Linked DNA regions of Canis lupus familiaris. The protein of the gene in region 1 interacts with the protein of each later gene in a biochemical or structural test. Links are inferred from orthologs where the notes say so. Each region holds a gene or a part of one and is shown on either strand. Other genes may lie near its edges.

Evidence for each region.
Region 2: the proteins of PIAS1 (region 1) and SATB1 form a complex in vitro, tested with the Homo sapiens proteins (2 studies listed by BioGRID, with this or other methods). The link is inferred for Canis lupus familiaris from reciprocal best matches to the Homo sapiens genes PIAS1 and SATB1.

What each region holds. Positions count from the first base shown.
Region 1 is NC_049251.1:32,546,814-32,550,944, reverse strand, and holds the start of PIAS1 (E3 SUMO-protein ligase PIAS1), read right to left. Parts: upstream 2,801-4,131; 5' UTR 2,786-2,800; coding exon 2,729-2,785; intron 1,493-2,728; exon of another isoform or gene 349-1,492; intron 1-348. UniProt on the Homo sapiens protein: Functions as an E3-type small ubiquitin-like modifier (SUMO) ligase, stabilizing the interaction between UBE2I and the substrate, and as a SUMO-tethering factor. Catalyzes sumoylation of various proteins, such as CEBPB, MRE11, MTA1, PTK2 and PML.
Region 2 is NC_049244.1:25,106,344-25,110,619, reverse strand, and holds the start of SATB1 (DNA-binding protein SATB1), read right to left. Parts: upstream 2,801-4,276; 5' UTR 2,642-2,800; intron 2,361-2,641; exon of another isoform or gene 1,233-2,360; intron 1-1,232. UniProt on the Homo sapiens protein: Crucial silencing factor contributing to the initiation of X inactivation mediated by Xist RNA that occurs during embryogenesis and in lymphoma.

The sequences.
Region 1 (4,131 bases):
ACAGCAGCGAGACCCGCACGTACCATTTAAATAAAGGCGCCAAGCGAGGAGGTTTGACAGTTACTCCCCCCTGGACCTCCCCGCCCCCCATCCTCGCCGGGCTAGCGCCTCCGGGGAAAGCCGGAGCGGGGGGGCGGGGGGGGTGCGGGCCAGAGCCCCGCCTCTCCGTGGCCTGCAGAACCCTTCTTGCAAAGCTTGGATGCCTGCAGTCCCAGAAACCATAACGGCCCCCTCGCCTCCCCCCTCCTCCGCCTCCCCCCTCCCCCCCGGCGCAGCCAGCGAGTCCTTTTCAGCACCTGCTACCTGTGAGGCCACGCGTGCGCTAAAAATAATCCGTTACGTTTGCAGATCGCTGGATGAAGCATTTCCAGATTTCTTAGCTCAGATGTTCCTCATGACGGCGCGGTGAGGTGGGCAGAGGAGACGTTACAATCCCCGTGGCATCCTACGTAGTCAGAAATGAGAGCTCAGGGAAGGGGAAAAGTGAGTGGCCCAAACACTTTGACAGCGGTGACCCGGAGACAAAATTTCATAGACGTTCGTTCATTTAACTCTGTTTCAACGAGTGATGATTCACTGATTATGTACCAGTCCTGTTTCTTTGTGAATACATCGGGGAAATTTAAAAAAAAAAAAAAAAAAGAGTCCCCGCCCTCCTGTATGTAGCTCTCTACTGGAGGAACAGACAAGTGCACCGATAAAAGATACAATTACAAATGGTGAGGAGTACCGGAAAAGAGCTAAAAAGGTCCAGGGAGAAAAAAGCGGTTGGAAGGAGATGTGCTTGATACCGGGAGGGCTTTCTCCAATATTTTGACGTTTGAGCAGATGTGATGAATTATTTCACACCTTTTCCTCGCTACTGAAAGCTTCCCAACCTCCACTCTTTGCTCTCAATTTTTGCTTCATTCCTCATGGAAAAAAATTAAAAGATATAACAGCCATGAACTCCCTTATCTTCTCACCATCAAAACTATTATTACAGACATAGTAACATTTGGGTTACTATGAATGAAGTGTCCTTGCGCCTATGAATGCCAGTCCCTCTACCAGTGACCTGGATTCCTTTCCCTCCCACATTCCTAAAAACTTTACTCCTACAATCACCTCGCCCTCCAGCATCATAACTTTTTCCCCTATTAGATTACTTCTATCAGGATACAAACATACTGAAATTCCTCCCATCTAAAACAAACCTCCCTTGACTCCAAAATCTCCTCCAGAACTGCCCTATTTCTCCCTCTTCAGTGCATAAATTCTCAGGTTTTTCAAGATCTCCCAACAGTGATTGTTCTCCTTTCCTCATTCCCTTCTCCTACCACATTCCCTTCTCAGCCCACTCCGATCCAGCCTTGACTTCTCTCATCGAGATCACTTATCAAGATTATTAATAATCTCTGTTTCCAAAACCACCTGTCAATTCTGTATTATCTAAAATGACCTCACAGCAGAACTGCAATAACTAAATAAATCTTAAAAAAAAAAAAAAAAATGGATGGGAGCTGGTCACTGGAAAGACTAAACATTGGGCACCTGGGTGGCTCAGTCGGTTAAGCATCTGCCTTCAGCTCAGGTTATGATCTGAGAGTCTTAGAATCAAATCTCACATGAGGCTCCCTGCTCAGTGGGGAGTCTGCTTCTCCCTCTCCTTCTACCCCTCCCCCCTGCTCATGTTCTCTCTCAAATAAATAAAATCAAAAAAAAAAAAAAAAGAAAGAAAGAAAGACTAAAGTGATTAGAGGGAGGTTAGTAGATACATGGAAGTACTAGGAAATGGGCGCCAAGAGAGAGCAGAGAAGCTCTGCATTCCCGCCCTTCATGCATTACCCTATGAATCTCTTTCACTTAGCTGTTCCTGAGTTATTTCCTATATATTAAACTGGTAGGGGGCACCTGGGTAGCTCAGATGATTAAGCATCTGCCTTTGGCTCAGGTCATGATCTCAAGGTCCTGGGATCGAGTCCTGTATTGGGCTCCCTGCTCAGTGGGGAACCTTCTTCTCCTTCTCCATCTGTCTCTCCCCCTGCTCATGTTCTCTCTCTGTCTGAAATGAATAAATAAAATATTTTAAAATAATAATGATAATAATAATAATAAAGTGGTAAATGTAAGTAAAATGTTTTCCTGAGTTTTGTGAGTCCATTCTAATAGATAATCAAAACTGAGCAGAAATTATAGGAATTCTCAAATTTGGTAGGTCAGAAGTTCAAGTGGCCCATGAGACTGGCAACTGGTATCTGAAGTAGGAGCAGTCTTGTGGAACTGAGCCCTTAACCTGTGGGATCTCAACTTATCCCTGGAGTTGATGTCAAAACTGAATTATTGGATATTTAGTTGGTGTTAGAAGAATTGGTATGGAAAGATTTAGTGTCAGAACCTCAGAGTTTCTTTAATATATATATTTTTAAAACTACATTTTACATTTGTATTGGTAAAGACTAATGCAATCCAAGCAGAGTATGCTTATTTTTTTCTTCTGATTTTAAGGATTTAAAACATTTTTGTGGGCCCTAAAATGATTGTCCCACCAACATGTAAAAATTAACTTCGAATTAATCATAGACCTAAATATGAGTTAAAACTTTAAAACTCTTTGGGGTAAGTCTCTATAACCTTGAGTGAGAAGTAGCTTTCTTAGATAGGGATCACACACAAGTTTGTGGTAGGAATGGTATAGCCATTTTGGAAAAGAGTTTGGCCGTTCTTTGAAAACTGAAAAGGTACTCACCATACAACCCAACAACTCTTGGACATTTATCCCGGAGAAACAAAAACTTCTTTCCATGAAGGGAATTGTACAAGAATGTTCATAGCAGGGATCCTTGGGTGGTGCAGCGGTTTGGCGCCTGTCTTTGGCCCAGGGCGCGATCCTGGAGACCCGGGATCGAATCCCACGTCGGGCTCCCAGTGCATGGAGCCTGCTTCTCCCTCTGCCTATGTCTCTGCCTCTCTCGCTCTCTCTCTCTGTGACTATCATAAATAAATAAAAATTAAAAAAAAAAGAATGTTCATAGCAGCTTTATAAGAATCCCAAACCAGAAACTATCCAAATCTCCTTTAATGGGTAAATGGCTAAACAAACTGCAATACAGGTATCTTATGGAATACTACTTAGCAATTTAAAAACAAAAACAAAAACACACAACAACTTGGATAAACTTCATGGAAATTATACTGATTGAAAAAATAATAATCCCAAAAGGATGTCTATTATGTAACATTAATGAAATAACATAAATACAGAGATAGAGAATAGACTAGTGGTTGTCAAGGAATTAGGGATGGGGGGAAAGGGTGGTTCCTACCAATGTCAATTTCATGGTTTTGATATTACACTTTAGTTCCACAAAATATTAACTTCCAGGGAGACTGGGGAAAGGATGCATGTGACTTCCCTATACATTTCTTTGCAATCTCCTGTGAATCTATAATTACTTCAATACAAAAGTACACATTTTTTCATATATATATGTATATATGAATATGAATATCTAAAAAGTATACATGTATATAAATATTGAAGATACAATGTATCAAAATTGTGAGGAGAGGGATATCATCAAAATGGCAGAACTGACAGCTCTAAACCCCCATACCTCCATGGAAACTTTAAAAAATAACCAGCAACTGTCAGACCAACTTTGTCAGAATTCTGGAAAACAGTCAACCAAGTAAATGTTCAATCCAAAAAATAAAGTAAAATAAAATAAGACAACTTAAAAATGGCAAGAAAACTTTATGATACTTTCATTTATCCCTGCCCTACTCTATCTATGACTTGGCCACCGCAGCCCACCTTCCTAGGATGGAGCTCTAGTCCCTGGAAATCATTGTTTTCATCTGTTCTAATCTTCCTGGAAGCCAGCTGAAGGACTAACGCAAGGCTTATCTCTCTTTTGCTTAACCAGCAGAAAAGCGGCAGACATTGCCTGAAAATACTGTAAGGTAAATAAACAACCTGCAACTGCCTGGGGACGAAGGTTACCATTGGTACCTAAATAGACCACCTAAAGCCTGGGAGTAAAAGCTAAGGAGAGAAGTATACTGGGAATTTAGGTCATTCAAAATGAAAAGTGCTCATGAACACAGGGGCATTTAGAAGGCCATGTAACATGCCTGAGACAAGATGCA
Region 2 (4,276 bases), on another chromosome or scaffold:
TGTGAATACTTTTACATACAAAGAACTATTATTTATTACATATTTCAGCTTGTGGGAAAATGAGGAATGCATTGATTCTGGAAATAACTATTCAGACTTTTGAAAGTTCTTTAGGTCTTCTTTCTCTATCCCTTTTTTTCCCTTTCTCTCCCTCTTGCTCTCCCCACCCCCACCCCCACACAGATTTTTAAGGCACTAGTTAGTACTTTAGGAGGGAAATCCTTATCTGTTCTTATTTCACCCATCATTTGTACTCATTATTCAGAAAGGAATACAAAATTGAACAGTGATTGTTTCTCTTGTATAATCTTGTTACATGTAGCCATACTTAAATTTAACAATGCTTTGTATTTTATGGCTACTGTTTACATATTATGTATTACATATGACTGAACAGCTCTACATTTAAAATATTGTTTCCATTAGAAAAACTATGAAGTAATAAGTGTCAAATGGAGATGAAAAATAAACATGCCTGTTACATTTATAAAATGCAGAGTCACTTAAAATGTGCACAAATAGGATACGTATTTTGCTACTGTTACGTTTTACATAGTATACACTAGGTCTAAAGTGTATTTAACAATGTGCCTAACCAAGTTAATTAAAGTACTTATGTCTGGTGACTGTGTTAAACACTTGGAGAGGTAGTGAAAGATACAGCCAGTTACTTCTGCTAACTAAAGTTGAAATTATGCACTTATTATAACCTTTTCTAACAATGTGAGAAAAACAGAGTAAATATATTAAATTTGTTTCACAACAGATGCTTAGGTTGTTAATATTTAAGATGCCTATTCATGCTATTCCTGTCTGCACATTTGTCAAAAATGTAAGCTTGAATGCTAATGTTTGCCAGCAGACTGGAGCAGCCAGTATATGAATGTACTACTGTTCCACTAAAATAATATGCAATAGAAATAAAGGACTGCTGCTAAATCATAGCATTAGTACCCCACAGCCGATTAAAGGTTTTTAGAGCAAACACCTCAAACCTTGGCTTTTTCCAGCCTTAAAGTACGGTTGTTGTTGTTGTTGTTGTTTGCTTTTGCAGCTACGTTTTACTATAGAATAAATCTTACATTCCTGACACCTCAGAAAAATCCACTTTAGATAGGGTGTAAATTTCAATAAAGTTTCAATCGCACGCGTTACTCCCTTAGTAAGTCGATTTTAGGGACTGCTGAGGACAAAACCTGACACCTACCAGTCGCCTTTCACTTGTTTCTTACCCCTCCTCTGTTCCTCTTGGAAAAGTCAGGTCTCCTGGCCTCCAAGGATGCAAGCAGGGAACCCCAGCCAGTCCGGGTAGAACGGTTCTCTCCTGAGAATAGGACGTCTTTTTTTTTTTTTTTTTTTTTAATTTTCCCTGTCTCTGATACAACCACGTAGAGTCCAAGTCTTACAACAATTGCCTGGAAATCTGGAATGCCGCGGAGAAAGTTCGCCGAGGAAGGGCGCAGAGGTCAAAGCTGCCAACCAGGGCACTTTTACGAGGCGATCCTGTGGTTGACACTAGTACGTGAGACTTGCAACGCCCCAGAGGAGGTCGGGGCCAAGATCTCCAGCAAAAGCCCTGAGATCCTCTCCTCCTTCTGGGGGGTCATCCCAAGAGTCACGCCCGGTGCATGTCCCCGGTGGGCGCGTGTGGCTCCCCGCACCTGCCACCTGCCACCTGCCTGCTTCGTCCCCCTTACGGTGGTTGCCCAAACCCACGCGCCGCCGCCCCGGGAGCCTCCGCAGGGAAGCGCCCGGAGAAGGCCGCCACGCTCGGGTCGGGACCGCAGGAGGGAGACACGGTGCGGACCCTGAGGCCGCACCTGCGATGTGTCAGCCCCGCTCAGAGGGCAGCGCCTCTTCCTGCCTTCCAGCCCTCCTTCAAACCTGCAGTCGCTCCGGGAGCCCCTGCGGGCCCACCTCACTACCTCCGGCGGGGACTCCAAGGCGGAGTGCCGCGGCTTTCAAAATCCCGGCTCCAACTTGAGCGCCCGGCGCCGAGCGTCCCCGGGATGGAGAAGTTGCCACCAACTTCCTAGGCCCCTCTCGGCCGCCGCTCCCAGGCAGCCGCGCGGGCGGGGGGCGGAGGAGGAAGGAGAAGGACCGGGGAAGGATGCTGAGCTCACTTGCGATCGGCGGGGACCGTCCCCGCTCCCCCAGCCTACTCTGCCGGGCACCTCTCTGCCAACCCAGCTCCGGGGCGCACGGAGAGGCTTCCTCTCCCTTTTCCCGTCGGCCTCCTTCGCTCTTTGCGGCTCCCCCTTTTCTCTCCGAAGAGCGGTCATACGGAGGACCTGAGGGAGTTTGTCCAGCCTGGGTCTGTCGGGCAGGTGTGTCAGGGTGCCCACACCCTGAGAGGGAATGAATGGCATCTCCGAGCCCCCCGTCCCGGGTGCTCTCCCACGCTCTCCCCGCCCGCCCCTCCGGGGTCCGGCCGCGCACGCGAGAAGGGAAGGGGCTCGGGGGACCCCGGCCGCCAGACGTCGGCGGGAGGGCACCGCGCAGCCCGGCAAGGGGCGCCGGGGGTGGGCGCCACCGAGAAGTTTGGATCGATTCCGAAAACAGAGAGACAGAGATTCGAGAGCAAGAATACGGGGCGCGGGGGGGGGGGGGGTGGAAAGGGAGGCAAAGGAGCAGCACTCACTCAGGCATGGGCGCTGGGGGCGGCGGTGGCTGTCGAGTGCGGGCCCGCGACCCGGAGCAGCTCCCCGGGCGGGCGCGCCGGCGTCGGACTTCCGAGGCGGCGGCTTCTGCCTCCTGTGCCGCCGCCGCCGGAGCTGCGGCTGCCGCGGAAGTTAATTGCAACTTGACTTCAAGTTGTCTTCTTTCCCCATCCGAAGTGGGCGTTTAAAGGGGAGAGCGAGACGAGGAGCGAGCTGGCGAGCGCGCGGGGCCGAGGGAAGGAAGGGGGAGGGAGGGGATGTTAACGGGGGGGGGGGGGGGGGGGGGGGGGGGGGGGGGGGGGGGGGGAAGGGGCCGGCGGGAGCTGCTCTCGGCTCGGCGGCCGCCGCGCCCGCAGTCTGGAGGCGCACCGGAGCGGCCGGGGCGCCCCCCGCGGGAGCCCGCAGCCCCCCGGGGCGCGCATCCAGCCGCGGCTGCTCCGGCCCCGCGCGCCGCGCCCCGGGGCTCGGCGGACCCCGCGCCGCCGCCGCTCCCGAGCTGGTGCGAGCGGGCTGGCCGGCGGGGCGGCGAGGGCCCGGCCCGCCTCCCCAGCGCCCGCCCCGGCTTCTCCCCCTGGCGGCGGAGGAGCCTCGGCGGCCGCCGGCTGCACGGAGCGCTGGAGCCCGAGCCGAGCCGAGCCCGAGCCCGAGCCGCCGCCGCCGCCGCCGCCGCCGCCGCCGCCGCCAACGCCGCGCTCGGCTCCCAGGCTCCCTCCCCGCGCGCCGGCCGGGGTGTGGGGGGCGGCGGGCCGGAGGGACGAGGGCGGGCGAGAGGCGCGCGCCGGGATTGGCGCCGAAGACCGGACCCTCAGCCGCTGGGGGTAAGTGTGGGCGCCCGGGAGTGCGCGGAGGGGTGCGCGGCGCGGTTCTCGACGCCCGCCGACCCTGCCCCCTCACCTCTCCCGGGCCCCCACCACGCGCACCCCTCCTCTTGCCGCCTGCGGCTTCCTCTTGTTGTTCGTTGTTTGGCTGAGCTTTTTTTTGGGGGGGGGGGGGAGAAGCGGGCGATTGCAGTGTGTGTGCCAGGGGAGGAGGAAGTCAGGTGAGCGGGCCCTACGCACCCCCCACCCCCAAACCCAGCCCGCGTGGGGTGTATCGCTCCCCACTAGGGGCATGTGGGCCAGTTTTTTTTTTTTTCTCTCGTTCATGTTCGGTGGAGACGATCTCTCCTTCGGGGGCCTCCTCCCCTCTCAGTCTGCACGGTCCATCGCCCTCCACCCTGGCCCCGCCCCTCTCTGCACCCCATCCAGGAGTGCTGCACCCCAACTGAGGAGCACGTGGTGGAAGGAGAAGGCGGGGTTGCTCTTGCAGACCCCAACCCCGCGCCCCTGCCCGGTTGTTTAAGCAGTAGCCTTCTGTCGGCCGCTTCTTTAAAATCCGCAGGGAAAAGACCCCTAAACTGAGGTCCAGTTTCTCCAAGAAGCTGGAAGCAAAGGAGGAGGCAAGTGATGAGACTGTAGTGACAGGGGGGCTCGCGGAGAAGAGGGGCAAGGGAGCCTTTCCAGAAGGTGAATGAAACTTCAAAAACCTCTACAACGGCAGAGTGACTTGGAGGTTCAGGACCCCAGGCTGAGGAGAAAAGGAGAACTCCATCAACTTTGCCCCTCTCATCCAGCCAT